4 linked regions of the Lepisosteus oculatus genome follow. The protein of the gene in region 2 interacts with the protein of the main gene of each other region in a biochemical or structural test. Links are inferred from orthologs where the notes say so. Each region holds a gene or a part of one and is shown on either strand. Other genes may lie near its edges.

Region 1 (7,056 bases), on a different chromosome or scaffold from region 2:
TGCAAATCTTACACTACCCACACCTCAAAAAACACCATACCTACATTAAAGTATGGTGGTGGTAGCATCATGCTATGGGGCTGCTTTTCATCAGCAGGGACCGGGCATCTTGTTAAAATAGAAGGAAGAATGGATGGTACAAAATACAGGGAAATACTGCAAGAGAACCTGTTTCAGTCTGCTAGAAAACTGAAGCTTGGGAGACAGTTCATCTTTCAGCAGGACAATAAACCCAAACACAAAGCTAAAGTAACATTGGAGTGGCTCAAAAACAAAAAGGTGAATGTCTTAGAATGGCCCAGTCAAAGCCCTGATCTCAATCCAATTGAAAAACTGTGGCACTATTTGAAAATTGCGGTGTACAAGCGTCATCTGACTAACCTGAACAACTTGGAGCAAATCTTCCTGAAAGAATGGGCCAAAATCACTCCTGAACAGTGCACAAAGCTGGTACAAACTTACCTCAAAAGACTTAAAGCTGTTATTGCTGCAAAAGGCAAAAGGTGTCTCTACAAAATATTAAAATGTGGGGATTGAATACTTATGCAAACAGCATATTTCAGTTTTTTTTTCTTAAGAATGTTTGGCAACATAACATAATGTCACATTAAAATAACTACTTTTGAGTTTCAATGTTTTGAAATAAAAATATCACAGAGAACAAAATTTCAACGTAGGATTTGTAATTTGGTAAAATGAGAGAATTGGTCAAGGCTCTGAATACTTTTGCAAGGCACTGTAGTTTTATACATTGCGCAGTCAAAGTCTTGAATCTGACACACTGTGATCTGTCAATAGAAAGTTTTAAGGGAATCTGGGACCTGTTTGTTACCCACAATTGAGTAAGAAGGATGGGCCACATAGACTCAATATACAAAGATTTTAAAAACGACTTAAGTGTACATTTTAAACATGTCTATTTCTGCTCAAACAGCATTTCACAGGACATCTCCTTTAAGGGATGAACTCAATATCAACAGTCAAATGTGAATTCACAATCAAGACAGTTAAACAAACCTAACGATAAAATGACTGTGGATTTAATTAAGAACATACCATGAGAACATAAGAAAGGTTACAAACAGATTAGGCTATTTGGTCCATCTGTATTGTTTGCTTCTATTTTTCAAAGAAACTAGAGTATTATGGCTGGGTAGCTTGTTAGTCACTCCCACAAGTCTTTACATAAAGAAGTGCTTCTTGTTCTTGATTTTAAGTGCACTGCCCACAGTTTCCACTTGTAACCCTTGGTTTATGTTTCACTCTAAATTCTGAAGAAGTCCTTTGGGGTATCTTTATCAAACCTTAAAGGGATGTCACATGAAAATGGGTCCAAATTTAAGAACATACAGCAAACCCTCAGGGAAGGGGTGTCCATTATTGTTGAATGTCTAGTAAATTACAAATGACTTTTTCAGCCCCAAAACACACTATTATATGAGAAAAAAAACATATATACAGTATATATACACACTATATGCTTACTGGATCTTTTGACTTTTTTATCAACTGTAATCAGCAGTCCATGAAAATTGTTAATAAAGCCTTTGAATATACATAAGCAAGTTCTTTATTTCTGTCATAAACAAACTGTATAAAATTTGCTAAATCATTAGAAACACAAACCTATCGCAAGCAATTAACCTACCACAATAAACCACAGCTGATATTCTTGAATTTCAAACATATAGTATTTATTTGAACTTTGCTTTATTCTGTCATTTCAACATTATTGCAGGGAACATCAGAATTTTGGATTTTACCTATGTAATTCCCCTTTAGCAGATTTTGTCTGTTGAATCTGAAGTCCTTTACACCAAGGGTTTACTATAAATGTCTAGCTTTGTTACAAAAATATAATGTAAATTACTTCCATCAAAGTAATTAAAACATCTTTAACGGAAAACAGTACAAATTACCTTCTATTCAGTACTATAACAAAAGCAAAGGCCTGAATCAAAAGTACTTGCAGTTTCAAACAGGCGCGTTACACATTTAAATTAAGCTAGATAGATTCAACACAGACCTACAACACATATTAAAAGATAAGAATACCAAACATACCGATCAGAAAGTTATGGTTAGTAGAAACAACAACATTCTAAGAGACAGACAGGTTTAACAGTTTAGATCCAACTGAGATGTGAACATGTAAGTAGCAGTTACTCTGCAGTTATCTTCCTTTTCTTACCTGTAACGTCAACTGGATCTTCATCTCTGAGATGTTTTTCCTTTGCTCTCTTCTTACCCATTACTCTCCAGCAGGGTGACTATATGTGACAAAGAACAACTAAAAAGTTAAAAAGAAAATAAAGCTGGCTTTCGATTGCTCTATTTGCAAAATAACTCACGAGATCGATACAATACAATGATCACATACTGTTTCTCGTTACTTTTTTTCTAACAATATGCTGCAATACGGTTATGATACTCATTTTGGATGAACTAAATTGTCTACTGCTACAACTATGTCTGATGGGATAACTGCGCAAGAAAAACATTTCTAAGAAAGAAGAAACTAATATTCAGACGTATGTGTATATCACTTAACATGCACAAGAAGTATTATCAGAAATCATCTCCTGGGTTAGCTACAGTGCTCTCGTACTGTTCAGCGATAATCCCATTTCTCACTTCGTTATACCATCAACTTTATTACCGAGGTAGAACACACATGATAAGTATTTGAAGTACAAAAGCAGAAAACTGAGTGTTTTGTAACCTTACAACATCTTATATCATTACCTGCTTAAAATGATCAGTCACAGTAAGACTGAGATCCCCACTATAACCTCAATACTAGGTATATAGATTTCGCATGTACACTTTTGCTGGTAAATAAAAGTACTGTATGATCTTGACAGACAACTACTTAAACTAGAAAAATACAAATCCTTTGTACTAAATCTAACAGAAATAAAACACAAAAGCTAGCAAAACACCGGTATATTTACGCTGAGACCAGCATATGGTTTTACTTGCAGCAATACATGTAACGTGTAACGTGAGCCGCTTCCCATATCCGGGGTCATACTGATAGACAGAGCACGTGTTTCCTATGATCCCGGAATCAGTTCAACGTCAAAACGTGGACTTGTTTTGATTGTGTCTGGGAAATGTTAGTTACAGTGGCTCTAAAAATACATTTCCGCTGAGGTAATTCACAATTTTGAAAATCAAGTTCAACTTTGATATGTTTTATGACTTCTGCATAAAGCATAGAACCATGCCTTTAATTATATAATAACTGTGTTAACTGAAAAGGTATAAGAAGATAAAAACAGCATTAATACCGCAGTAAAGTTCTCAATGATAGTATGTATAATTTTGTCACAGGCACTGTTACGTTTTATTGGGTATAATTATCTTAGTATTTCACATTTCGTAATGTTTTAAACTTGAAACATATGTTAAAAATGATTTTGTATCTGCATAGTTATCGAATCTTCAAAACTGTATTTCTTTAGCGTCTTTAAATTAGCATTTGTAGTATAATATAATAGTATTATGACTAATACTAATAATACCATTCCCCTGAAACCTCAGATTTGCTAATTCTCCTGTTTCATGTATTAAAATCAAGTCGGTGTCTGTTTTTCTCTTATTGCAGATAATTTAGACATGGCTGGAATAGAAGAAGCAGGCAAACAGCTTTCTGAAATTGAGCTGCTGTTGAGCATGTTTCCTAGTCAGGAAGAGTTGGTCATTGATGACCAGCTGGCTTTAGCAGAGCTCAGAGACTATGTTGAAGGTAGAACAAATGCCATTCCCACTTCCAGGCCTCAGTTTACCATACAGCAAAAACTGGACATTTACAGTGAGAACCTGGTAAATATTGGTCACTGCAACATGAGACATTGTCTTCTTTCCGCTTGCATAATTGTACCAATAAGGAACAAGTAGACACCAGCTTGTTTTCACCTTAAACCTGTTAGTGTACAGCGGTTAAAGCACAATTTGCAAGTAGCCCTTGATCGTACAGTTGTCACTGATCCATTTTGAGAAAATATTTGCTGACTGAAATAAATGTTGTTAGCCATGGTTAATATTCTAGGTACATAACTGTTAAATCTGCATCTAGCTTCATTTTCATGGCAGAAAATATCCTAAAGGCAAGGAGCAGGGTACAGACTTTCATGGGAATTAAAGAGGATGGCACTAACATGCATTACTGTTGGGTAGCCCTGGTCCTGGAGAGACACAACCCAGCAGGTTATATTGGGTCAGCGTCCAGTCATGTTTTGAGCACTTCAAACAATTTTATTATGATATACCAATAAAGTTTGAGAAATTCTAACTGACTAAGTGGTTGAGAAATTTTGGGAAATGAAAATGCTAACACCTCATAACTCACAAGAACCACAGTTGTAAATTCCTGAATCAGTTAGTTTATTGAGTTGATCAAAATTATGCACTTTAGAAGTTTTTTCAAATGTGATTATTTAATGGTGACCTATGAGACCTGCTGGACTGTAGCTCTTCAGGATCCTAGTTTACACATCCACTCTGAAAAGAGAATATAAGAAACACAAAGTTTCTGCATCTGAAGAAGGTTCCACAGCCGAAACATTCTGTTTCTTTTCTTCTCTCTACAGTATGGAATAAACCTTTACTTGTTCCTTTTCAGCCTATGCATGCTGAGGCAGCCTTTAATTCTTTCTACACATCCACCCTTTATCTTTCTGAAGTTTTGTTGTTAATAGAAACTCTTGCCTCTACCATGTTGGTAGATGGTTTTGCTGTAATGGCACGGAAAATATTCCATGGGCTGTTTCTTGTTGCAGGTGACTTTCTCAATCTCCTGCTCCTATCTTGTAACCTATCCCACAGTTCTACCAGAAATCACGGTCAGGTATGTATTGAAGAAAGGGGTGTTGAGTAAAGGATAAAAACTAAATCATGGTAATGCATACATAATAAGAAACAAGTACAAAAATGAAAGGTACAGAGTAGTAATATTATAATATACAGAGTGTGTGTATATATATATGTACTGTATTATATATTATAATATGCAGAGTAATATTATAACCATTCACCCTTACCCTTCCAACATTGTGCTTTCTTTTTAGGTCTTCAGAACTCAATAGGACACAACAGACTCAGTTACATACAGATCTAAATGCATACTTGAATGATACCTGCTGTGGGGACGTCTGTGTGTTGGCTGCGATTGAATGGGTTAAGGACAATGCTCATCTCTATATTAATAAAAACCCAACTTCAGCTCTGAAGAAGCAGGTGGATTCTTCGGTGGCAGAAAATATGTTTTCGAGGCTCTGGATTTACAGCCATCACATTTACAACAAGCAGAAGAGGAAGAATATTCTGGACTGGTCCAAAGAGCTGGGATTAACTGGGTTCAGCATGCCTGGGAAGCCTGGTGTCGTGTGTGTTGAAGGACCCCGGTCTGCTTGTGAGGAGTTTTGGGCAAGGTATAGTTAATCTTTTTAATTTATTTTTAAAGAGCCATTCACTAAAGATCTTAAGCCTTGTCCAAATCAATATTGTAATGTATAATGTAATCAATATTGATGCGTACTTGGTTTGTTGCTTGTGAACATTGTTTTGAATATGCATGCAAGGAGAGGAGGACTTGAAAGCAGCGTGAATTCCATAAAATAAACAAATCAGTGAGTTCTTGTTGCAGTTTTTTACATTTGGGGTATTTTTCTTATTTTCAATATTCCAACAAAATTGAAATCTCAGATAGTCCATCACCTTGACATAAAACCTTTATAGAAGTGTAGGAGAGATGACAGCCATGTTGATTATCTGCTTTTCTGTGTCACCCTGAGCCCCTTGGCACCTAAAGGAGCAGAAGCAAAAAGTGGTGGCCTGATGCGGCTCTTACTGATAACATGACAGGCAGCAGACATTAATAAGGAAATCCTAAAAGATCATAAAAATGTTACGTAATGCAGGGGTGATTTAATCCATGACTGAGGTACAACAGCCATTATGTGCCAGCTACCCTGCTCAGCACTCAGATTAGATAAAGACAGAGAACACAAATTACTTAACACAAAGGGAAACTTTAGGAGGAACATTAGGGTGGAATTTAACCAGGACATTGGTTAGTTCCCCTACTCTTTTGAATGTTTTCTGGGACAAAGTAGATGGGACTTCAGTTTAATGTCTCGTCTGAAATACAGCACCGCCTACTGCACAATGGCACCCAATCACCAATTGGATTCTGGTTTAAAAATTCTGCTTGCCCACAAAATTCACTTACTGTAGTAATTTCCTTTGAGCTCTCCCGTCCCAGTACTGACCAGACCCAGCCTTGCTTAGTAGAGATTTAACAAGACCAACCAAGAACACCTTGGCAAATACAAACCCATTTGACAGAATTCCACTTGGAAATAACATAGCCCAGAATCGAGAGGGGAGGAGCTGCACTGGACTAGCCTTCACTAGTTAAGCTGCTCAGAAGTCTTACATGACCAGTGATTTTGGACAGTTAGCTGTTACTTCTACCACACCAGAATTATGTCTCTTCATAGATAATGCAGAAGAAAGTGGGAATGATCCTTGCCGTCTTGAATCATTAACGTTATTTATTTCTAAATATATTTGTTTTAGCAGCAAATATTCTGGAAATGTGTGCATTTTACATGTATTTTTGCTTTCAGGTCAGTGAAATTACAGAGAATTTGGAAACCCCTTCTAGACTGAAGTGGTTTCATGACTTGGTAGCAACGCTCATCAGACCCATCGACTTGTACAAAATGGTTAACATTTTGTAATAAATGCTGAGAGGGTTCTTTTCTGTTCTTTATTTCCTAGGGTTAGGCGTTTGACGTGGCAAAGAATCATGATTCGCCACAGGGAAGACATTCCTCTGGACAGGGATGGCGTCGATACTCACGTAGAGCTTGATTTGCATCGTCGATTCACTGTGTTTGAGGAAGCGATATTTGATGCACATGGAAACAGGGGAAATCACATGGACCTTGGGCAGCTCTATCATTTTTTGAGTGAGAAGGGCTGTGGTGATGTTTTTCAGCTTTACTTTGGAATTGAAGGAAGGTAGTTAATGTTAAACACTTTGTA
Region 2 (7,837 bases):
TCCATGACGTACATAACTTACTGTAATAAGACTTTGGTACAGAGAGAAAGGAAGGTTAAACCTTCACTCTCCCTTACCTCATGAGTGTAAACTCGCACCGGAATCCCAAAGGCTCTGGCAAGCCCAAAATCAGCCAGCTTTATTACTCCTTTATTGTCTATTAACAAGTTCTGAGGTTTCAGGTCTCTGTGAAGGACTCTTCTACAGTGGCAAAAGAGTATTCCTTGCAAAATCTGATACAGGTAGCTCTGGTGGAAACAAAAGAACAATAACTTATAAAAACATTGGAAAATGTTAACTTTAAAGAACAAATGAAAACATACTGCATACAATTAGAAAAACAAGGATCCATACAAAGTAGTGCCTTCCTCTAACATTGAAATCAAGCACAAGAAATCACAAAGAGCTGTGATTACACTATTACTGCCTAGTTTTTTTTTTAATTAAGACTACCCTTCCAAGCTGCCATGAATTGTGCCATACCTTAACCAGCATCGCGTCCATGTACTGACCAGAAGGTATAGAGTCCAGGTATTTCTTTAAGTCCATTGAAAGAAACTCAAAGATGAGGTAAAGCCTTGACTCTTGCATGAGGACATCCAGAAGGCTGGGGAAACGAAAATCTAGTGAATCCTCTCGGAGTAGGACAGAAAAGCTCTCAATATTTCATTACTACTGATTTAATAACATATTGCATAACACTATACAGGATGGACAGAAAGGATTAGAAAAACAAGAATCCTGGTTGTACACATTCCGATACTTATCACTGACACTTAAGGGTCTGATTAAGTAACAACTGAAAAAACAAAGCAGGAGGGTGTGTATGTGGGGCACAATCAATTTGAAGAACTCCACTTACAGTACATGCGTACAATAAGGGTGTTCTATTCCAATGTCTTGTGTTAATGTTAATTAAACAGTGTGCAGCAGTTGCTCAGGGTACTGGAGTCTTAACTGGTAGGCTTTGGAGTCAAATCCAAAATGAGACGCTGTGGTTGGAGACTTAAGCAAGTTATTTCACCCAATTGCTTCAGTAAAATGCCCAGCTCTATAAACGGGTCCAAATGCAAACTGACGTCTCAGCCAGATTATAGCTTAGCTAAAGCTTTTATCCAGGAGGCCTAAAATTTGGAATATTGGATGTTTTACCACAGTAATCTGAGCAGAGTACTTTGAACAGAGTACAGAGAACCATACCACCTGGTTTGAACTGTTTTACAACTGCATGCGTTAACTTACCAAACCACGTTGGGATGCTGGAGCTCTTTGAGCAGGGAGATCTCCCTGACAGCTGTGCTGGGAACTCCCTCTTCCTCACTCTCCAGTCTGATCTTTTTCATGGCCACCACCTGCCCAGTGGTCTTGTGCCGACCCTTGTAAACCACCCCATAGGTACCTGCACAAATTAACAAAACACACAACTTCAGTGTCTTGGGAAGTGCCAGTGAGCCTTCAGGCCCAAACATCCCTCTTGAAGAAAGAAGCATGGTGAACAAGACCATTAAAACCATAGCATTATACAAAACAAAACTGTTTTTCCTACAGTTTGCAAACCAAAAGCACAGTTTTGGTTGAGCTTGCACCTGTTTTTCCAGGGACAGAATGTCTGCATACACTTACCCTCTCCAATTTTCTCAATCTTCACATAATCATCCATTTTGCCTGAAAGAAAATATACACAGAACACCGTTTTACTCTGGACATAAGTCGCTCACCGGTTTGTCTGTTCTATAACATTGCTATGCTGTGTGAAGAAGTGTCGCTTTCTATCGTTTGATAAACGCAGTTTCATTGTACTTTCCAAAACATAGGACATTTTACCGAAACTGGTTTCACCAGCTGCTACTGTTACCGAAAATAACACTAGGCGATTTGGTAACCGTATTATCTCAAAACAATGGCGTTGAAAACCTCTTATACAAAGGATTTTGATGACAAAAACGCCAGACTGTAAATACAAAGACTCTGACGTCTGTGATTCGTCACACTGGAAACTATTTCACAGCCGCTAAACCGAAGTGTTTGCTTGTGTAGGTGGCGCTCTCCAGCAGTGATTATATGAAAAAGGGCTTACCGGTCGTGCCCTGACAACTTACACTACTTGGCTAAATGTCATTTTTGAGATTGGAAGTTGGAAACGTCTGTATTTCAAGCAAATAATAGCATGACAAGAGTAAAGGTACTATTTTTAAATGTAAACGTGTCTTGAAGCGTCATGCAGACCTAGCCTGTCCGTGTGCATGACCATGTTCCCTTCCACAACGAGACGAACCACGTTCCTGCCTTTTCGCTGCCGATAAGAGGCGATAATAATTCCTTTAATAAGACTATTCAACAAGCCAAACCTACGATGCGAAACTGTCGAACACTAGGTGACAGCTCGTTATCTTATATACAAAAAATAATTACCGTTAATAATTACCGTGTGCAACGCCTGTTAGCACGGTCCTGCATCTTTGTTTTTATCTAGACAGAATTAATAGCAAATGATTCTCAATTCTGTCTAGTTTGCCTTTGTCACGTATCGATTATGGCCTGTAAAAAGCAGACCCAGAACCTGCTCATGACATTTTTAACGAGCCGGTTACCCGTGTACTGTACATTATCACCAAATACAGCCTGGGCCTAGTCCTACCATCGGCGCTTCGGCTAGACAGTTACAGAACCGCTCCTCTCAAGAAATATAATCCGGTGCCCTTCCATGCTCTCCAAAGATGCATGCATATATAAAAACTGTTTCACACTATTTTAAATTGTTCACACTTCGGGATCACCCGAAATCGTATCGGGTCGTTTTTTTAATGCTAACCCATTTCTTAAATTCCCCTTCCTCACACACTTCTGCATTAAGATTATATAAAGGGAAAAACAAATAAACAGTACAATAAAAGTTGGTAAAGAACGCACTCACTCCCAAGGCTGTAACTCCTGCGCCGCTCTCACTGGACTCAGCAGTCCGGGGGAAAACAGCAGCTTTGGGCTTTCAAACTAGCCGCGCCGCTGCCTTTCAAATCCAAGCAATCGGGCAGCTCGATTACTTTCAAAAGAGCCAATCGGGAGGCGGATGTCTTAGGGGCGGGAGAACGACTTTAAAGCGCGGCGGAAGAGGATGAGCAAAAAAAAAAGCAGCGGGCGGGCCCGGTTGGAAACCACACAGTGTTTCCAGGATTTTTGGTTTCTTATATCGTTTGCGGGTGGTAGATGTTTTTTTGTGCACGGTACTTTCCAGGTAAACCTTCACTTCTCCATGTATTTTTTTAATGATACATTTCACTATACACTATAATCATTTTTTATTGCTTTTTTATTTGCATGTAGTGGTTGGGGAAATGATTAAAAAAGGATACGAGTATGTTTAGACGGATATTTTCTTAGGCTTCATATACAGTATAACTTTTAGTATCATTAAAGGGCTTACTTAAATTAACATGGAAATGCTATCAATAATGTTTGAATAAATGTTATAGAGCCGCGACAACACTTTAAAGGACAGAAAACCACAGTTAATGACATTTTGCACACAACCTTCTTGTGAATGTGTTGACAAACTGTACTTTTTCCTCTAAATTATTAATAGTATTTGCATTTCTCTCTTGTGCAGGGTTCATTGCATTCTTGGCAACGAAATTCCTCTGTTAGCGATGGAAATTGGAGACGGAACATTTGTTTTCCAATTTGAACCGGAATCTTATCATTTCACCTTGTTGGCTCTAAGTAAAAGGTGATTACATTAGAAATATAAATTTATTTCGGTTTTTAACTTGGTTTCTTTTTTGTGTGCAAATTAACCCGTAACGACTTTTCAAAGTAAAGCTCAGCAAGTTGCGTTGAAGCCCATTCCTTCTTCGTATAACCATTTAATCTCACAATGCAGCCCTGTTCTGGGAACAGAACCGTGATTTATCAAAAGGCAACTCGGGCCCTACCGGTTATTTCATGTAAACAGTAGTTTTCAGATTCAAAACCATATTGACACCCTCTTCTGGCCAAAGTGTCAGGTTACAGACAGAGGTATATTTAAATTGTATTAATTAAAATTACCTGCAGACTAAAATCATGCTTAGTTGGTGTATATAGACGTTAAGTGTGCTAATAGTTGAAAACAATGCAATCTGACATTGTTTTTAATTGAGGTGTTGAAAGTGCGGGCATTTATATGCAAGATTGTGACAGTGGTATTGGGAAGGGCATATTGTATCAAATGTTAAATACAATTATTTCCGCATGGCTTTTATAAATGTATACTTATTCATTAAACACTTAATACAATAACACTTAGTATCAGAAAAAAATCATTCAATATAATCATGGTGTCATTTTATGCTTCTGAACGCTGCAGTAGTATTATCGCTGTGTTTTCTATTATCTAAAGAGCAACAGTCGGCGAGGTCTTCAGCCTATGAGTGCAGTAACCTTGGTGCCGCACCCTAACCGAGTCTGCGGTGAAGTTAGTACAGCGGGCGGTTTGTAGCCTTAATGGCACTGCCACTGTCGCCATCTCAATAGGCTCTGATCAGACCGCCTTAGTCAAGTTGCACAGCAAGTGGACTTTACCTGTGTGACTCGGCTGCGCAGCGAGCAAAACTTTCCTGTGTGGGACTCCGAGACAGCGCGCCGCAGGGGGGGTCGTGCGGGGCTTTGGAACAGTCGAAAGCTCCGTCTCATCAACGAGTTAAAACAACTTTTTAAAGGTTTATGGGTTTTGCTGTGCAGGAAGCAATATTGCTGCACCGCCACCACCCCCTTAAAAAAACGAGATTTCAAATTTGTCCGGTCTGGATAAAGCTTCAGCAACATGGCCTCCACGCCTATTGGAGGTGGTGAAAGCGATACTGCACAGGTGAGGATACATTTTGTTCAGAAGTGTAAAGCAACCGAGCCTTCGCGATTTAGTCTTGTTTTGCGGCACATGGATTGATATCAATTCTCGCCCGCAGTTTCCCACTTGTAAACACATGTCATTAAATAAGTAAGTGTACAGGTTGGTCGAAGTGTCCACACTTTATTGAAGTGCGAAGTCTTTAAGAAGAACGCCTTGTGATTATTAAACAGCATGGTATTTAATTGCATTGACTGCACGGCTCAATTAGCTGCAGGTAATACATTTCGTTCTTCGGGGACACGCTTACAAATTCAGTATACCTGACAGTTACAGTACTTCTGGGTGTTGCCGTTGATTGGGGTTCGGGTAAAGCAGCAGGATTAGATTGGTGTCGACGCTGGTAACGTGAACGTGGAATGTTTTTAGACCACCTGTGTTTGGACTGAACTCTGAAGCTGAATATAGTTTTATTGCAAGTAAATGATTAATCCTTTAGGTGGAAAGTGCAAAGGCTTTCATTTTAATGAGATTGAATTGCGCCAAATGTCATCTTTGGCAGTCATCTTTTTTTTTTGCATAAACAAAAACAAAGTAGGAAAGTACAGTCCTGGGTGTCTTGAAACAATAGCTTTTAAAGCTTTGGAATCGTACTAAACACGGAAACTGACATGTTGTTGCATTCTTGACTTTTAACCAGAAAAAAAGGTTTATTAAACTGAAGTATGGGCTCTTGTTTTAATTCAGCATGGTGCTGGCCTGAACTGTTGTCATGATGAAATACCATTTTTCAGTAATCATTAGTTTTCCATTATGACAATAATGAGATTGTTTTTATTGTGAGGTAGTGCCTCAAGTTTTTTCTGTGATGGTAATGGACATGTTAATGCTTACTATTGAAGGTAATTAAAAATTCTTGTGTGCATTTTCCCTCATAGTTGATGGCAGTTGCCCAATAATTTCAGAACTTTTTTATCCACATCATGGTAGTGGTAGTGTATCCAATTAAGACGGACATTTTCCCTTATAAAGTGCTGAATCCACTTGCAAAATGCCGGGAAGCAGTGCAAGTATAGTGCACCCATAAAAATGCATTAGTTTTTTCAAGGAATATCAAGGCTCAGACTGTACATACATAAGACAAGAAAAAATCCCTGATCCAGGCTGTTCTAGGTATATTGTTAGAAGGCATTAAGATGTCATTGAGACTTAGCAACTTCATTCAAAGACAAACTCGTTTAAAATGTTAATTGATGCTTTAAGATCTTCTAAACTCTTTTGTACTTGTCTTTTTATGTTACAGTCCACATTGTCATGACAGGAGCTCTTACGTATTTATTGATGGATTACTACAGCCATTTTAATTTCTAACTCCTGCACAGGGGAAAGCCACTGTGGCTAACAAGGCAGTAAAACTATTCAATAGGCAGGAAGGATCATGATGGGCTTGCTTCATTTTCATAATAAGTTGATAATTCCTGTCTTCACATTTTGTTTTACAGTAGTAAAATCATTCCTTGGACTTCAGACCTAATTGATTAGTCTACAAATTAAGTTATGTGAATTTTAGTTTGACTTCTCCTGCTTAGACCTCTTTGAAATCTGTCTTCTGTTACATATAGCCATAATTGTGGAATTGAAACTGCTGTATTCAGAGGATGTTATATCGGTTATCTGTTATTACACATACCTATAACAAAACTGTCAGGATGCATTTTCATTCCAGCTATTGTCAACTTTTGTGTCGGTATAAGAGTAATGGCTTTACAAGAGTCCTCTACCATTCTGCTCTTTCTGTAGAAGGTGTAATTAGAATTTTACTTAGGCATAAAGTTCAACAGCTTTGGGTTGGGATAATGCTGACAAAATATAGGCTGACAGACTATACAAAATGTACATTTACATTTTGTAATTTTCCTACAGGTTTCCAGAATTTGTCATTTTGGTGTCATTCATAAAAAGGAAAGGGAATTTGCACCTTTGCTATATTATTTGTAGGCCATATAGTAAATGTATTTGCATAAAACCTTTCATCTTACAACCTGTATAAACCATCCCATCTGTGTAAATAGTGGGTAGTTTAATACTAACTCTGATCGGTAAATATTGACACATGTAAAGCAGTTTTCAGTGTACATTCAATTGCTATACACAGTATAAATTGTTCTTACTGTGACTCTTACTGTTATTGTAATGATTAAAAACCAGGATATGTTGGACTTACAAAAAACAAATAATATGAAAAGAAAATTGCAGATAGACCAAGTAGTGGTCACAAAAACACTTAATTTCAAGATCTCATTTCTTTCAGATGATGGATGCTGTGAATTTACTGGAGCTGTTTGCTAGGAGTACTTATTCATGTAGGCTTAGACACACACCCTCTGTCTCCCAAAATAAAGAAGGCAGTGGCATTCAGATAGCATTAGTCTCCTTTTTACTGTTCCTTTATCAGATGCCTTGTTGGAACCTACAATAACATTTTTTTTTTGTCTTTTAGATGTACATTGAAAGACTGATTTAAGGGGTGGGAGTAAGATGTGAGTTTGCTTTTATGTCAGCTAAAATCCAAAACTAAGCTCCCTGGAGATTTGGCTCATTCGGTTTGTTTATATATTTAATTTACTTTCCAGGTTTTTCTCCAAGGGCAGTTGACTTTAAGGATAAGGATGTCCTCAGGTCATATTTTCTATATGGTGGCCTGAGGTTACTTAATATAAATGTCAATAGTGAATTATCTAAAATTATGTGAAATAGTGGTTATGAAACAAACCCACAGTGTTAAACTTACACTTGTTTCTTTAAAGCAAAATGCCTGAAAGGTTTTAAAAGGTGCTGGATTATGCAAACTTATTTTTCAATGGTATGTGTAAGTCAAGGTTGAAAAAATAATTCATGAAATAGCCTGTATTATTAACTATTAGGTACTTAAAAGGAGAAATAATCCGTAAACTACATTAAACGTGGAACAAGTAATAGTTTAATTCCATGCTGAAAAGAGAAGAAAGAAAACAC
Region 3 (7,911 bases), on a different chromosome or scaffold from region 2:
TTCCTTAATTCCGTCACCAGAAGAAGGCTCCACAGCCAAAACCTTTTTCTTTTCAGCATGGAATAAACCTTTACCTGTTCTCTTTAAGTTTCCCTAGTTTGAGAGCATGGTGAAAGCAATATATTTAAAGTGAACCGGTTTAATATGGCAATAAATGAAGTTTCCCAGACCAATAAATCCATTAGAAAAAAAAACAGTTTTGATTTAATATTGATTTTCAACATTACATGTATATAATGACTAACTCAATTCCACAAAATTACCTTCAAACAGTAACCGGCACTTATTTTATTTAACCCTACAACTTGGCAATTTTTTCTCCTGCCCGAGAAAGAAATCCCAATCACAGAACAGCTGCTGCTGTAGAAAAGAAACATGCTGACTGACAGCTTGCACCAAGAAATACTTACTAGGTTTTATTTCTGTTAGAGGCATGATTGATGTGGACTGATTTTTCTCATCCCCCTGATGCTCTTTAATCACCTCTAGCTGCCCACACGGACCTAGGGGGACTGGGGAAATCCCATCTCCCTCAGGAGCAACAATACGGCTTTGTTTGGAGGATACAGGCCCATCCTCTATTCCACCTCCACTGCTCAGCAGGATGAATTTATTGGGCCCTTGTGCACCACATTCCTTCCCTTTGGCAGTGAGGGCCCCTATGACACTCTGAAGATTGGCTGTTTTTGGAATCACTACCACTTGTGTGTTGGGCAAGGAGGGGTGATCCATGATCCGGATTCCGGCAGGGAACTGCTGTCCACTGCAGGCGTCTGACTTCTGCTTTGCTCCATCAGGCTCATCCTTGCCAACCTCTTCCTCCTTCTTAGAGAGGGCAAGCTTCCTCCTTTTAAGGATTAAGGGCCTCCTTGGGCTCTCTTTCATCCTGATCAGGCAGTATTGATGTTGAAAATCTCTCTGCAAAATTTATTTTTCTGAAAAAATAAAAAAGGCATTTAGCACAGCCAATTAAATAGGCTTCCAATCAGACAAAATCTTTAGATATGGAGTTTTTTTCACTTCTAAAATCCTAATCCTGAGAAAGAATAAAGATGTCAAAATCAAGATCATATTTAACTTTATTATATCTGGAATACAATCATATGCAATTAGTGCGATAAATGTAGATTGCAAAAATACAAACACACAATGAGGAGCTCCATGAAGCTGTCCCCTCTAAGAACAGCACAATGACTTTAATTTGTGCACGGAACTTCATGGAAGTGTCAAATAATTCGCAATCCCATAATCCCACAGCGATTTACCTACTCGTAAAACACGGCGCAGGATAAATTAAATGAACGACTTAATATTCAATCATCATAATCAGATATTAATCAAATAATCATTCTCACTAAATAAAAGGGAGTGCATATCAAAAGTAAGAAAATGCAATATTTAAAAATTAATCCTAACAATTTACGATCACAGTGTTAAACAATGCATCTGGTATTTAAATTCTATTTGGTGAGAACAACAAAATGACTTGAACAAGTAACTTTCAAAAAGAACAATTTAAGACTAGGCTACCTGTCTCCACTGTCGGTACTATATCTGAAAAGCTGCTGCGCACTGGGTATATTTCCTGTTCTATTGGTCTGAGACGTTGCTTATCTTTGTCTTTCGGTGCGCTTTAAGCAAAAGGCATCATTACTTGGACAAGAACTTCCAGGAGAGCACAGATCAGTCCAACCGAACGATGCTAATTAAACGAAAACAACCTCGATTGATTTAGTCACAGGACACGTTCAAATTGAAATCAACAAGCGACTTTTAGTAACGATTGAAATTCTGTTTCAAATGTCACCTCTCTTGTGACGTGCAGTCTTCTGGAACAGAAAAGCCGTTAAACTGATTTTGGGACTGCGTTTCCTTATTATGTACAAAAATATCGGGTGCCGATTAAATATCTGGACGTATTAATTCTTAAAATAGTAGATATTTTTGTTTAGATTACAGCCGGATTCTATTTATGGACATCACAAATTGTCCTAAAGAAGTTACAATTCAAAATGCCTTCGGACTCCCCTACTGCAAGTCCTCGATAAAAACGGCAGTAATGTTGCAGGGTCTGACGCGCACAGGAAACGTGAACGAAATTCTCATGTTTTGCTTTAAAAATATTGTATATTACATCGCAATAATACATATACAGAGGTGTGGCTACCCATCATTCAGTGGTCGAGAGGTTTACAACCGTCATGTCTCCGCTTTACCCAGTTTGCTGTACTTTCTAGGACAACGAACCACCTTAACAAACCCTGAGTTGAGAGCAGGATACTTTAAAAACATAAGACTTGTGACAAGCTAGAGAAAGCCATCTGCTTGAGATACTTATATAATTAGTTCGTTTTATTGCTTGAATTGGAGTTAATTGATCCCGGGATCTCGTGAAGCGGTTTCTTGAACGAAGCTAGTGTATCACCTTCAACATAATGGCTTGTTACAGACCCACACAACACGTTTGTGTAAAAAGTGCTTCCTGTTCTACTTCCCCTTAGCTTCACTTGTGTCCTCTAGTTTGTGTTTCTCAATTGATTCAGTAATTGTTTACTACTTGTTTGTGCAACGGAAAAAAAGTTAAAATACCCTACTTTACACTATTTGTGGCTTTCATTTGTAACCTTTATTTGTTCTTAAGACGCGTACGCGCTCATCACATTATAGTAGACAGTTTCTTTTTCAGAAAACACAGACGAATGTGATGTTAACTTTCAGGATCTTTTTCAGTGTGATTTTTTCCCCAAAACATAATTTCTATATGTATATTATCTGTTACGCTGAGCAATGTGTGACCTCCATATTATTTTATAACAAAGCGTTACGAGTTACACAATGACTTAAAGCTTACCTTCATATTAGAAGACTGTTCTTTTTGAAGTTATGATTCCAGCGCCGAAACGCAACAATTCCTTTGTAGACTGATTAAATAGTTATTATTTCCAACACGTTTCTACGCAACCATTTTAAAAAATATCGAGCCTGAATTTTTTCTAATTCAGACACAGTAGGATTTTGAATTTTGGCGCTGGTACGTTCGTTCCGGTCATGTGATCTGATACCATCCAATGAGAGACAGGGAAAGCCGATTCGCGATTCCTTAGCGGACCAATCAGCGCGACTGGCAGGTTTCACTTTGGACTGTGTCACACAAGACAGGGACATCAAACAAGAAAAATTAGAAACGGAAATGTGGATATCGTTTGATACATGGGAATACTTTTTTGGACAATAGAGCCGTGAGTATTCAGCCTTTAGTTGTATGCGTGTCAGACTAAGGTTATCAAATATTGTATTTTAGTTTAATTCGTTATCAAGCTTTCACGAACACTAAAATGATGCGAGTTTAGTAGTTTTTATATTCCGAAACTGGAAGTGGAGTGACTGTCAATTATGTTCACTATAGTAGTTCTTTCGGCCCACTTACACTCGTCATCTGGCATCAATACCTACTTCCTTATTTCCAGTATAATATTACTGAAATTAAGTGACTTTGAAAATCGAGATCTGCACACACATCATTAGTGATTAGTACTTTATTGTCCAGAGTGCTCCGGCGATTCTCTATTTACTTTAATCTTATTGCCATGTTTTACTAAAATCAATTACCTGCCTACTGAAGAATGCCCACAAATCTAAACATTTTTGTGTTTATAGCCTAAGTATTGTATATTTTGTAAGTCATGAGTCCTTTTGTCATTTAAAGGGAGTACATTTTGCGCTTTTTTACAAAATATTTTTTAAATTTTATAATAATCCCTTAACCAGCCTATTTACTTCAAGTTGTATTAATTGGTATTTACACCATTTTTAATAAATAATGAATATAACTATCCATTCTTTAATGCAAAGGGCGATCATGGCTGGCCTCTGATGCCCCGTAAAGGGAAGAACAGCTACACCCAATTGAAGAAGCCTCCGCTGCTGTTCGAGGAACGTCCAATAGATGGAGCCAAACACCAATACGGGACTCCTATCAAATCGGCTGTGAACCCATTACGAGTTGTAGCTCAGCCATGCGAACAGAACACAACCAGCGAGCAATGGGTAATGAAACCATACGTGAATGATGTATTGACTGATTTGTTTTATTACTAATTGTTAAGAATGTTGATCTGTATATTGTTAACAATTATTTAATATAACATCCCAAAGTTACTTTGTGAACAAAAGACCTAAGACCCTTTAGCATGTTTGTTTGGTAGCGGCTAATTCATCTGAACTTTAATTCCGATTAAACTATTAAAATGCTTGTTCTTAAAACATTATTTTAATACATGGATTTTATATACAGTGTCCCCAAAAGTATTGGCAAAGTAAAGTCAAATTTGTTACTTGTTCTTTACAGTCAATCGTAAATTGCAACTATGGCAGCAGTAGAATGAATTCTGAAGTGTACAGAAGCATTTTTTACAGCATATGTAGAACAAATACTGTACTGCGCAAGGCTTCACTGTGCAGGATGACAATGACCCAAAAGATATCGATAGTGTAACTAAGGAGTTCATCGGGAGAGAAGACAGGGGATGAGATTTAAATTCAACTGAGCATGATTTAACATACTGCACAAAACATGTAAAATTGAACACTCCAAAAACGGCTAACAATTCAAAATATTTGCTGTGAAAGCTATGTAAAGGATCTCAGATAATTAAAGAGGTTGGTGAGCTCAGTGGCTCACAAGCTTCATGCAGTTGTGGGCTCAGATGGATATGCAGCCAAATACGGACTTTTATACTGAACTTGAACTTGAACTTGAACTTTATTGCCATATGTAACCGGTACTGGTACAATGGAATTCTTACTTACAGAAAGTCTCTCGATTATAAAACAAGTGTAAAAAACAAAACAAAGTGCAAACAGTGCATCAAGACAATGTACAAACAAACAATAGACAATGTGCAAGTAAACATGCAGACAGTTTGAATATAAACAATACAGACGTGTAAACAATGACTGGAGACGTACAATTAATAAATTACAATGAGGTAGATGGTGATGGTGTAGGTGTGGTCCGAGGGGGATGGCTAAATGTGTTCGCCAGTCTCACTGTTTGTGGATAGAAGCTATTGAAGAATCTAGTGGTAAGTGTCCGTATGCTCTTATATCTCTTGCCTGAGGGCAGTGGGGTGAAGAGCTCATGCCCTGGGTGGTGACTGTCCTCTGTGATGGCCAGAATTCTACCACGGCAGCGGTCCTCATAGAGCTGTTTAATCTCGGTGAGACCGCAGCCGATGATCTTCTGGGCCATATTGACCATTCTCTGCAGTGCCTTTCTTTCTCGCGAAGAGGTGTTGCCATACCACACGGTGATCCCGTTGGTGAGGACGCTCTCGATAGTGCAGCGGTAGAAGTTCACCAACACATGTGTTTGCATCCCCCATCGCTTGAGGCACCTCAAGAAATAAAGGCGCTGCTGAGCGAAATTTACCTAAGCGAATGTGTTCCAGTATTTAGGGTCAATTGAAATCCCTAGGTTGAACGTGGAGTATGTTTTCATCTAATATAATAAATAAGTATGCATGTAATTACCCAAAACTTAAACACACTTAAATATTATATTGCACCTATAATTCATATTCATTTCATGATTACAAATGCTAATTGTTTTACTGTAAAGCAAAAATAGTTTTTATATTCCTGTCCCAATACATTTGGAGAGCACTGTATCGTACTCTTTCATAAAAGCACAAAATTCAAATGCAGTTTTCACAGCTATTAATGAAACCACTACCAATTGGATGATGTTGTTAGTAAAATACTTTTGGCCTTAAGAAGGGCTATTCATCCTGGTCCTTCAACACAGGAGTGTCTTGTGTTTAAACTGATTTCCCAATGACTTAATTGAATTCTTTGTTGGATTGATAACTTACTGATTTAAGCTGATTTATTGTTCTCTTAAATGTTTACAGATGTCAAGATCAGAATTGTCACAAACAGTTGAAAGAGGTCTAATTGAGCAAATTATTAATTTAATTAAGAACTCGGTTAGGTGAAGTGTTTGAGGTGCGACTGGAATAAGAATCAGAGTACACAAATGGCAGGGCTTCACAATCCTTATCTTTTCTATAAAGTGTTCATAAGATTGGTATGAAGTCTGAAATCTGAATTTACCAGTGCAGCTTGTCAGAAGGATCCCAGTATACACAACTCTCTTGTCAGTGACTCCAGGCTGACATCCCACAGAGGTGAAAATTAGTTTAGTGAGAAAAACAGCAGATTCATTTGCCTTCACATCTGCTAGTCTATAGCAGTAATTGGTGCTATAGTACACTGGGCATGAATGGTCTTACTCAGAAACTGTCAAGATAGCACAGAGAGTCAATTAGTCCATAGCTGTTTATCTGAATCTATTGGAAGTGTTTTAATTGAACCAAAGCTTGTGATCCAAAGTAATGACATTGCAGGAGGACCATTATTTTCTGTGTGGGGTAATTTGAGAAAGGTGAGACAAAGTTCTTGATTATTCACTGTATTAGTACAGTACAGTGGAATATTAAACCGGTGTTGCTGGTAGGAGAGTCATGCACAACAGCTTTGTGTAATTCAAATTCACAGTATTGGCACTTCTGGCTGATTTATTTCATGGTATCTTGTACACTTGTATGCTAAAAAACACTGACTTAATCAGGCAGAGGTGCAAATACAGGAAGTCAGTTTCTGCTTGATTGATAATAGTTTGAAATTCAGAGCAATTTGACAACATCCAGGAACCAGAGTATTATCTGGCATGCTTAATTAATGGTTCACAATTCACAAAGACTTTAGCTAAATTATTAAATATTGGGAGTGGACTACCCTAGAATAGTTATGGTCAAACATCAAATTCCATAAAAGATATTTGTAGAAGAACAAATATTTCATGATCTTGAAGATCAAAACTGAAATGAATTGTTTAGAGAACATCTTAAGCTTTATTCTTCCTTTTTTCTGAGTTGTCTTTAACATGGGGGGGGGGGATTTTCTTTCATGGTTAGACATCATGATTTTAATGCCATCAATGTGGTACTTTCTGTATATTCCTGAATAGGAATGTTTGTATGCACAGATTCTTAATCTTACTCTTTGAAATGTCAGAACTGGTGATCCAGTCTAGCTGCACATCCAATTTTAAATCGTGATCTTTTACAATATTAACATAAACACCATAGATAGCTTTTTTTTTATCTGAGTTAAAAGTGATTTGTCATGGAATGACCCCAGAGAAGGGGGGAATAATTGCTCTACCACCATGAATGCTAAATAAAAAGTGTATTCAAAGCATAAAGTAGTTTTCCACTTTCAGCGTCAGCATTCTGTACACTAGCGAGATGCCGCTGATGTTACACATCTGTTGTCTTTTCGTCTGCACTGGCAGGTGACTTCTCAGTTTGACACCACCATGCAGTTGCACTTCCCGGCGCGGCGGAGGAAAAGACAGCAGTCAGGCAGCTTCACGCACCAGAGGAGTGTGCTGGGGAGGAGCTCGCTAGTGCGGGCCAAGAAAACCAGCGTCTGCAAGTTCCCCTCATTAACTTTTGAGTGCAGTTTTGAGGCACCCTGCCAACCGCAGCAGCCTTTGCTTGCAGTCTCCGCAGGAAAGGGCTCTTGCCAGACTGGCCTTCCTGAGAAAAACGAGGCTTTAGAAGTAAATAGAGGGTTTGAATCTCTGAATGGGGTTCAAAAGAACCCACGCAAACTCAGCAGTGATGTTTGTGAGGTTCGGAGGACCCCAGTGCCTGAGATGGAAAGAGACCTTGAGGGGACACCTCGAGCTTGTAGAGACTCTGACATGGAGAGTGCCTCCACCCCACCTTCCCTTCATACCCCGGGAGCAGACAGTGGGGGCAGGAGGAGCTGTGAATCTCAAAACTTTGCCAGTGACCTTGCAGGGCGGCTCATCTTTTTTGCCCCAACCCCAACAGACACAGA
Region 4 (7,757 bases), on a different chromosome or scaffold from region 2:
CCACCATTGCAGTATTCATTCTGGATTAGCATGTGGTCATCTTCTGCCCAGGCAGAGTAGTACCTGACCACGTGGGGATGCTGTCCAAGCACTGCATGAGCATAGACCTCCCGGAGAGCATTCTGCCTGGAAACAGAACCCAAAACTTTCTCACACTGCAATCAGAGATCTCTGCTTATTTTCAAAACACTTAACAAAAAAAAACATTTGCACTTACTCGTCAACAGAACCGGCCAGTGGCTTCTTGGAGCGTTTTATGGCATAGATACAGCCGTCCAGTCTTTTCACGCACTTGAACACCGAACCAAACTCTCCAGACCCAATCTTCTCCAGCTCATGGAACTCCGTTGCATATCTGGACTTCATGTTGCTTTCAGTTATAGTAATCCTCTGTTAAAACAAAAACTTTAAGTACCACATTCTTTTACCCCAAAGGCTAATCTGGATAATCGGTTGCTCAGGTGTATGTACCTACCTTAGACGGGGGAAAGAGCTCATCTTCAAATTCTCCATCGCTTGCTTCCATATCCTCCCCGCAGGAACTAAACCGAAAAAAAAACTCGCAGTTAGTGAGAGCAGACGGCACTAGAGGGCAGCACTTCCGCTCTGGAGAGCACGTGGTGACTCAGGCGACACGTGCTCCGGTCGTGTATTTGCCAACCGATTATAACGAAGCCCGGTACACAAAACTAACCCATGAGTCATGTTCCACACACCCCTTCAAATGGGAGACCAAGTAACTGTAAAAGCAATGATTTTCTTCCAAGTTGCAATGCACAGTGCAACTACCAGTTAACTTTTAGAGCCAAGTTTCCAAATCAAAGGCCATCGATTTCAGAATGGGCTGATGTCCGGTGAAGCTCTGTGCAGGCGCCCGGGGAGTCTTACTCGTTCCAGTGGGTCCGCTTCCTGCTGTTCTTCTGCAGGGCGGCGGACTGGATGAGCAGGGAGTCCGGCGTGAAGGGGTTGATGTTGATGTGCGGCGGCTGCTGGCTCTTGCCCCCGGAGGCGCCCTTGCTGGGGGGCTCCGCGGTCCTGAAGAGAGCCCCTCGGCGGCGCACGGACGCCGAGCCCAGGGCGCTGGCTTTGGACAGCAGGCTCTGCGAGTACAGGATAAATACAGCCAGGACATGAAACAGACCATCCCGGGGACTCGTTTCAAGACGCCCCCAAAATACAGCCCCCCGTTCACTCCTACAGACCTATCTCGTTTCTGCCCCTAAGACATGCGCTAGCCTATTAGCAGCAACCATCAAATTCCAACAGCAGTGGGTGAAAGGGGCGATTTAATAAGTCTGCAGACAGCTGTGTATTTACACTTGCTGAGACATGCCTGGGATCGCATGAATCACGCGATCGAGACCAATTTCAGCCTTTAACCGCAGATATTTATGGAGCTTTTATAACTCGCTTAAGTAGGTCACCTGGACAAGGCTGACTCGGCAAAAAAAAAACTGCAACAAAGCGAGCCTTTCACAAATGTCTGCTAGAGCTTGAATCGCGCTGGGATTCCTGAACTAACTGATGAGACCCGTGTTTGGTGCTGGTGTTAAAAACCGTCTAGCAAAAAAAAAAAAGACGACTTTAGCGAAGTAATTTCCCCCTGATGTGCCGCAGCTAGATTTTGCAGCCCCGGTCCGACACATGAAACTCTCTCGTTAGTACCCAAGTGAACAAGTCTGACTTTAAAAAAAAAAGGAGACTGAGATGTCCAAAAAAGAAAGCGTCCGACCGCTGTTAGCCAACACAGCGCGGAGCTGTGTAATCTGGGAAGTCGTCTCTCTACAGGCTGCGGGGGTCTCTTCCCGAGCCCGGGCGAGCGACAAGCCGGCCGCTCGAATCAAAACAACCGGAGCCCCCGGCCCGGCCGCTCCGCCCGAGAGCGCTCACCTTGGGCGTGTGCGGCGTGTCGAAGAGCCGCAGCTTCCTGAAGGTTTTGTGGGGAGGCGTGTCGGGACAGTCCGGGACGGGAGAGCTGGAGCCCTCTCGCTCCTCCCGGCCGTAGGCGCCCCCCGGGGAAGACCCCCGGCAGGCCGAGGAGCTCTTCCTGGGGGACGGGGACTCCATCAGGAAGGAGCCGGGGGACTTCACGGGAGACGGCGATCCCAGCCCCTCCTCGTCCCAGAAATCCTCCTCCTCCCCGTGGAGGCGTCGGGGGCTGTCCCCCGGCTCCTCGCTCCTCTTCTTCGCCGCTCTCTGCCGGGGCTGCACCGGCGAGTCCAGCTCCTGGAAAGCCGAGTCCGCCCCCGTGCTGTTGCCGTCCTCCTCCACGGGGTCGTCTTCCCCGTCGCTGGGCGAAAACTGCAGCTTCTGCCGGATGGGCCCCATCTTCGGAGAGGCAGCGCGCAAGCTCATCTCCCCCTGCACCGCGCAAAAAGGCCCGGTGGGTCTCAGCCAGGCACACAGGAGTTAAGACAAACACACAGCTGGCCGCCGATCCGAGCCGGAATGCATATGGTGGCTCACAAGAACACCGGGCCCGAGGAGACCCTCCCCGGGCGATCAGAGTCCGCGGCGCGGCTGGAAGGGGGTCTCAGCGGCGGCGCCGGGTCACCGAGCTTCCCCACACAACCGGAGCCCTGTCACCCCGAGGCACCCAGCGGACTCGGACGCGTCAGCGCGGCGCTGGTCCAGTCCCTCTTCCCCTGGGTCTCCCACCGGCGAGCCCGCAGGCGGAGCTTCGCTACCCTGCCTGGGCCGGACACGGCTAGTGGAAAATGGCTGCACGCACGGCTCCCACTCCTGCTCGCTGCGCTACACCAGGCTGTTCGAGGAAGCCTCCTCTTTTCCCTTTCGTTCTCCTCTGGAAGATAGTAAGCTGATCAGCTTTCCGGAGAACAGTCACTTGTCAAACAAAACCCCCCAAAAAAGTTGTGTGTTTTTTTTTTTGCCGCTACCCCGACATGCGTTTGTTTACTGAATTAATTCGAATCACTCCTCTCCGCAGCCCACTACGCGGCTTCCCGCGACCGTTGGTCAAATGACTCCCGTCCCAGCCAATCAGCGCCCGAGCTGCAAGTTTGAAATCTGGGCGGTGCAGCGCTTGGACACGGGCAGTTACGTCACCGACCCAGGGGCTGGACACTGCACGTCATTTTGGCGCGAACATTTCGCGATCTTGTTGGTATGTAGGGGGAGGGGGTTATTCTTGTAGTTTTGCGCAGGGTGGTTTTATTGAAGGCTGCATTTCCGATTGTAATGATGAGGATGTCCGAGCCAACGAGCCGTTGTTTCGGTTACAAGAACTGCTCTAAAATAAATTATTGAATTTATGATGTATCTGGATACTGTCTTTTAGAGCGTCATCGAAGGCTCTTCAAATCAGTCCCTTTAGGAAGTGTTAAGGAAATATTTGTAGCAGATTATATAGTTGTTGCTGGACTGGAGCAAGCTTTAAATCGATGTAGGATGTTTATTATTGATCTAATGTTCTTGCTCTTGATAGAATCACTACAGTCAATAAGAATGATCATTAGGAGTAATGTACATGAGGAGACTAATCTTGTCTCGGTGTGTAAGGACGATGAGCGTTCAAAACCTTTTCGTATGTTTTATGAGTCTAACCCTGTATGGGACTTCGTGATATGACACAAGGAAAGGTGCAATTTAAAAGAGAAAAAAAGTATTCAAACAACAACTCCCATGGAGGTTTAAATATTAATTGAAAAATATTTCAATATACTCTTGTAGTCCTCAAATTAAAATTTAAGCGTGATACGAGCAACTGCCGTAGAGCCAGATTCTTAAGACAAACGTGAAGTCATGTTACAGGAGGCTGTAAATGGAGATTTCTTTTTCAGGGACCGCCTTTTTATAAATTACTCTTGTTTTATCCTAAACGTTTTAAGATTAATTGGTAATTATCTAAAAATAACGAAACACTTAATACAATTAACCAAAGTGTAAATTTGGAAACATTTCGCGAACGTCCTTAAAAAAAAGTTCTGGGGCAATACGATGACTGGCAACTGTTTTAGTTTTTTCACAGTATAAAATACTACATTGTGTTCTGAATATTTAATTCAAATAATTGTAACTATTAAAAAAATACACAAATGAAGAGACTACTGAAAAGGGTAATTGAAGATAAAAGTCTTCTATTCACACGCCCTAATTTAGGCATTTACATTTAAGTTTCGGAAGGGCGTTGTGATTGAAATGTCTTTTGTACCTTTTTTCCGCCACAGGTGGCTCTTTAAACTATGATGTCACCGCATTACATCATCGGGCGTTTCTGCCTTGTGTCTGGCTTTCGAGCGTTCAGTTTGCTAAGGCGTTTGTTTCGACATTTATGGCCGTCTTGCCTGTGAGCGAGATAACTCGGATAAGCAGTGTTGATCTTACTATCTACTTCACTTGATTAGCTCCAACTTTTAATCGGATTTGACTTCTTAAACCCGTGTTAAATCGTATCTTCGATTCTTCTGATATTGCGCAAGTTGCGCTTAGGGAAGCCTTTTATGGTGGTGAATATGATTTAAAGGAGAGCAAAGGTAAATTCTAGTTTAAAAATTGTCGTTTTTGTAGAAGCAATTCATTTTCACAGTTTTTGAGAGGTTATTCTTACTCTCTGAAGTACAGCACAAATGTTACCAACATGTTCTCTGTTCAACCTCAAACTTTTGATTGTAAAAATGGTCAATTGCTTCCTGCCCAGCAGAAATTTAATCAAATATTAAACTTCTATACACATAATGATTTTTTAAACACACTGCAGTTTTTAACATAAATATACACACAAATGGAACAAATTATACATAAAGTGCTGCAGTGAAAAATCTAAAAAACCTGAGTTATCACAAAAAGTATAGCAAGTGCCTCTTTAGGTTTGATCTGACTTTGTGGTTTAGGGTGTTCAATTATAGTTCTCTTCTTAAGGACAATAATTCTATAAGAATTATTATTCAAACAACCTTAACTAGGAACTGACCCAAAGCAAGGTTTCAGATGGATTGTACTGCTTTAATATTGCACAACCAAGAATTTATACATAATCAAATGTAAAATAGAGAAATTTAAACCATTAGCAGGTTATATATACACAGTACAGTGACTATAACTCCCAAAACATGTAATTGAAAGAAAGTGGAAATCTGTAGCTCCAAACGCATTCATGTCCTGAGTACAATGTGGCATACAAAAGAGCACGATTTTCATAAAGAACTTCTGGGATTTAATCCATCCTTCTAGATTAGAGAATTGAACATTTCCGATCGACAGGAAAGTGATCAATTATGCCCCCCCCCCCCCTATTTAAAATATATATACACAAAATCTACAAGAGAAATTCATGGTTTTGACCTTTAATATTAATAGCGGTGAGCAAGCTAGTTGCATTTTTTGCTTTTTTAATTTTCTTCTTCCTGAACAGTCTCTGATAGCATTTTTTGTGGAAGCATTGGAAGGCAATGCAAGTTGTGTATTAATCATCCATTCCGGGATTTTCTCCTTGCTGTATTCTTGAGGCTATTCTAATGGCTTCTTCCAGTGATGGTTGTTCACTCAGCTAAAAGATAAAAAGGGTAATCATATACAAATGCTGACTTCTGAAAAGAAAGATTTCAAGTCTTATATACAAGACAGTTTGATTAAGGCTATACTTGTACTTTAGTCATTTGTTATACTTAACAAGTTTTTAAAAAATAACAAAGAAAACTAAAATATGAGCATTTTAAATATGACTGATAAGGTATAGTAGGTTTAATCTAAACTACAAAGGAACAAGTAATAGGTTTATTCCGTGCTGAAAAAAAAGAAGAAGAAAGAAAACACAACGTTTCGGCCATGGAGCCTTCTTCGGGTGTAGTTAATTTAAACTAGAAATACTGATTGTTAGGAGACAAAATATCGACACAGAAGCATCAAATAAAAAACGCAGATCACCCCTTATCTGTAAAACTTAAATTTGATAATGATAAACTGCAGCAGACTAATCTGTCTCTAGCTGAATGATCTGAATGTAACAAGACTCCATAAACAAATCTCCCCTAGGGGACAATAAAGCTTTAATTGAATTGAATAATAATCAAGTCTAGTCCTACAAGGTTTATTTACACAGGCTATTGTGTAACAGACTTCATTTGCATCAAAGAGTGATAAGTGAAAAGCTTGTAATATAGAAAAAAAATCTTTAAATTTGGTGAAACTTAATTTGATATACGTTTGGCACATTTCTTTGCAAAATGTGTTCAAAACCAGTAATATTCATAATTAGTGTTTATAAAGAAATAGTTTCTGCGCTTTACATTGGATACAGTGGAAAATGTATTCACAGATTTATACCAAAAGCAAATAATGTATCCTGTTTCCTTCATCTTCCAGCCTTTTCACTACTTTAAGATATAGCAACATCTTGTCCTGTGTGAAAACGTATTAAATGAATACATATTTTAATTCCTGTTTTTATTCGTACTGGAGACAAGAAGTTAAAAATAAGGAGATGAGTTTTCCCAGAATCTGCAAGTAACAATTAAGAAAACAACTTTAAGACTTTTCTGAAAAGTCTGCATCCGTTAAGTGTTAGTTCTTGGGCCAAGTTTAAGGGCGCATATTTCTGGGTAATGTGATAAGCTTTCCAACTTCTTGTTTGTCAGTTTTAATGTGAAGCCATGTGTTATAAATCAGTTTAATGCAAGCCATCTTGGCAAGCAGAAGGCTGTGTTGAGACCTGAACACTATCCACATGCCAGTCTGCAGGCTGTTAGAATTATGGGCCACCATAACAGTTCGGAAAACACAGGCAATTATCCTGCTTCCTCCAGACTCTTCCTGCGACAGTAGAATTGTGTGGTCTGAGCAAAGTGAAAATCATGCGCACCGTGCTTTCACACCAGAGATGAAGAGTTTAAAATCCTACTTTATTTCTCAGCAGAACAAGAATCTGTGAATTCAGTCACTCGAACTGAATGAAGTAATAATGACACCACACATTCAGGGAACAAGCTAGTTCTTCAACGTCTTGAAAATGGCATGGAATGAACAGTTGCCTGCAGTCAGGGTGCGCTCCCTTGTGGGGAGTGTTGCTGGGATGTTTTCAGTCTCTTTCTAGTACCTGAACTGCGATCTGAGTGCCGTTCGATGTTGCCAGAAGTGTGACTGGGTGAGGGCTGCCCGATACCAGATGATGCTCATGATGTTCCTGGGTCATATCAGTCTGGGACGTTTGGAATGTGGCTAAATCTGGAGTCACTATAGCAACCTGAAAATAAAAGAAAAGCTCTGAGTCGGAAAGAAATGACTAAAATACACTCCTTATCCCTCTCCCAGAAAACGATGTGGACTGCAGTATTTTGAAAACACGGAGCCAGTCAGTCCTGTTATCTCTTTCCTTCTACTGAACAATCAACCTTCTATCAGAAGAGTACACAGAGACAATGAATTTGCTCTGAAAGACACCATTGTCCATTGTCAATGGCCAATCTATTGCCCGTCTGTGTATCACATGACACTCCAAATAAGATTGTTAATGTAAGCTTAGGGTTCACAATCTGAATTCTTTCTGTATCTGCCAACTAAATATAGAACTCTGGACATGTTTCTTAGCCATATTATGTTTTTTGAGGAATACTGAAAAGTTGGAAATACGTGATAACATTAGAAAAAGAAAACTTACTTGTCCTTCTGTCCCGTCTGCAGTTACCATAGTGACAGAATGTGTGCCTCCTGAAGCCAGCACTGCTTCGTGCGCTGGGACAGTGATGGTGGTGCCATCTTGTGTTACCATTGTGATAGTGTTCCCCAGGGCCTGCATGTCTGCC

What was found.
Region 1: of the proteins of cdk1 (region 2) and usp16, one has a biochemical effect on the other in vitro, tested with the Homo sapiens proteins (3 studies listed by BioGRID). The link is inferred for Lepisosteus oculatus from reciprocal best matches to the Homo sapiens genes CDK1 and USP16.
Region 3: of the proteins of cdk1 (region 2) and foxm1, one has a biochemical effect on the other in vitro, tested with the Homo sapiens proteins (2 studies listed by BioGRID). The link is inferred for Lepisosteus oculatus from reciprocal best matches to the Homo sapiens genes CDK1 and FOXM1.
Region 4: of the proteins of cdk1 (region 2) and wee1, one has a biochemical effect on the other in vitro, tested with the Homo sapiens proteins (5 studies listed by BioGRID, with this or other methods). The link is inferred for Lepisosteus oculatus from reciprocal best matches to the Homo sapiens genes CDK1 and WEE1.

What each region holds. Positions count from the first base shown.
Region 1 is NC_090700.1:19,387,268-19,394,323, reverse strand, and holds the start of usp16 (ubiquitin carboxyl-terminal hydrolase 16), read right to left. Parts: upstream 3,012-7,056; 5' UTR 2,746-3,011; intron 2,291-2,745; 5' UTR 2,253-2,290; coding exon 2,192-2,252; intron 1-2,191. Other genes in the region: rwdd2b (RWD domain-containing protein 2B), read left to right, coding at 3,622-3,828, 4,785-4,852, 5,073-5,435, 6,790-7,036. UniProt on the Homo sapiens protein: Specifically deubiquitinates 'Lys-120' of histone H2A (H2AK119Ub), a specific tag for epigenetic transcriptional repression, thereby acting as a coactivator.
Region 2 is NC_090699.1:23,136,650-23,144,486, reverse strand, and holds the start of cdk1 (cyclin-dependent kinase 1), read right to left. Parts: upstream 3,018-7,837; 5' UTR 2,915-3,017; exon of another isoform or gene 2,911-2,914; intron 1,666-2,910; 5' UTR 1,661-1,665; coding exon 1,624-1,660; intron 1,400-1,623; coding exon 1,243-1,399; intron 608-1,242; coding exon 484-607; intron 249-483; coding exon 78-248; intron 1-77. UniProt on the Homo sapiens protein: Plays a key role in the control of the eukaryotic cell cycle by modulating the centrosome cycle as well as mitotic onset; promotes G2-M transition via association with multiple interphase cyclins.
Region 3 is NC_090702.1:9,289,157-9,297,067, forward strand, and holds the start of foxm1 (forkhead box protein M1), read right to left. Parts: upstream 3,011-7,911; 5' UTR 2,852-3,010; intron 1,807-2,851; exon of another isoform or gene 1,531-1,806; intron 936-1,530; 5' UTR 886-935; coding exon 411-885; intron 1-410. Other genes in the region: rhno1 (RAD9, HUS1, RAD1-interacting nuclear orphan protein 1), read left to right, coding at 3,874-4,047, 7,358-7,911. UniProt on the Homo sapiens protein: Transcription factor regulating the expression of cell cycle genes essential for DNA replication and mitosis. Plays a role in the control of cell proliferation. Also plays a role in DNA break repair, participating in the DNA damage checkpoint response.
Region 4 is NC_090716.1:9,577,778-9,585,534, forward strand, and holds the start of wee1 (wee1-like protein kinase), read right to left. Parts: upstream 3,005-7,757; 5' UTR 2,356-3,004; coding exon 1,891-2,355; intron 1,101-1,890; coding exon 889-1,100; intron 543-888; coding exon 476-542; intron 391-475; coding exon 218-390; intron 127-217; coding exon 1-126. Other genes in the region: znf143b (zinc finger protein 143), read right to left, coding at 5,423-5,506, 7,052-7,198, 7,613-7,757. UniProt on the Homo sapiens protein: Acts as a negative regulator of entry into mitosis (G2 to M transition) by protecting the nucleus from cytoplasmically activated cyclin B1-complexed CDK1 before the onset of mitosis by mediating phosphorylation of CDK1 on 'Tyr-15'.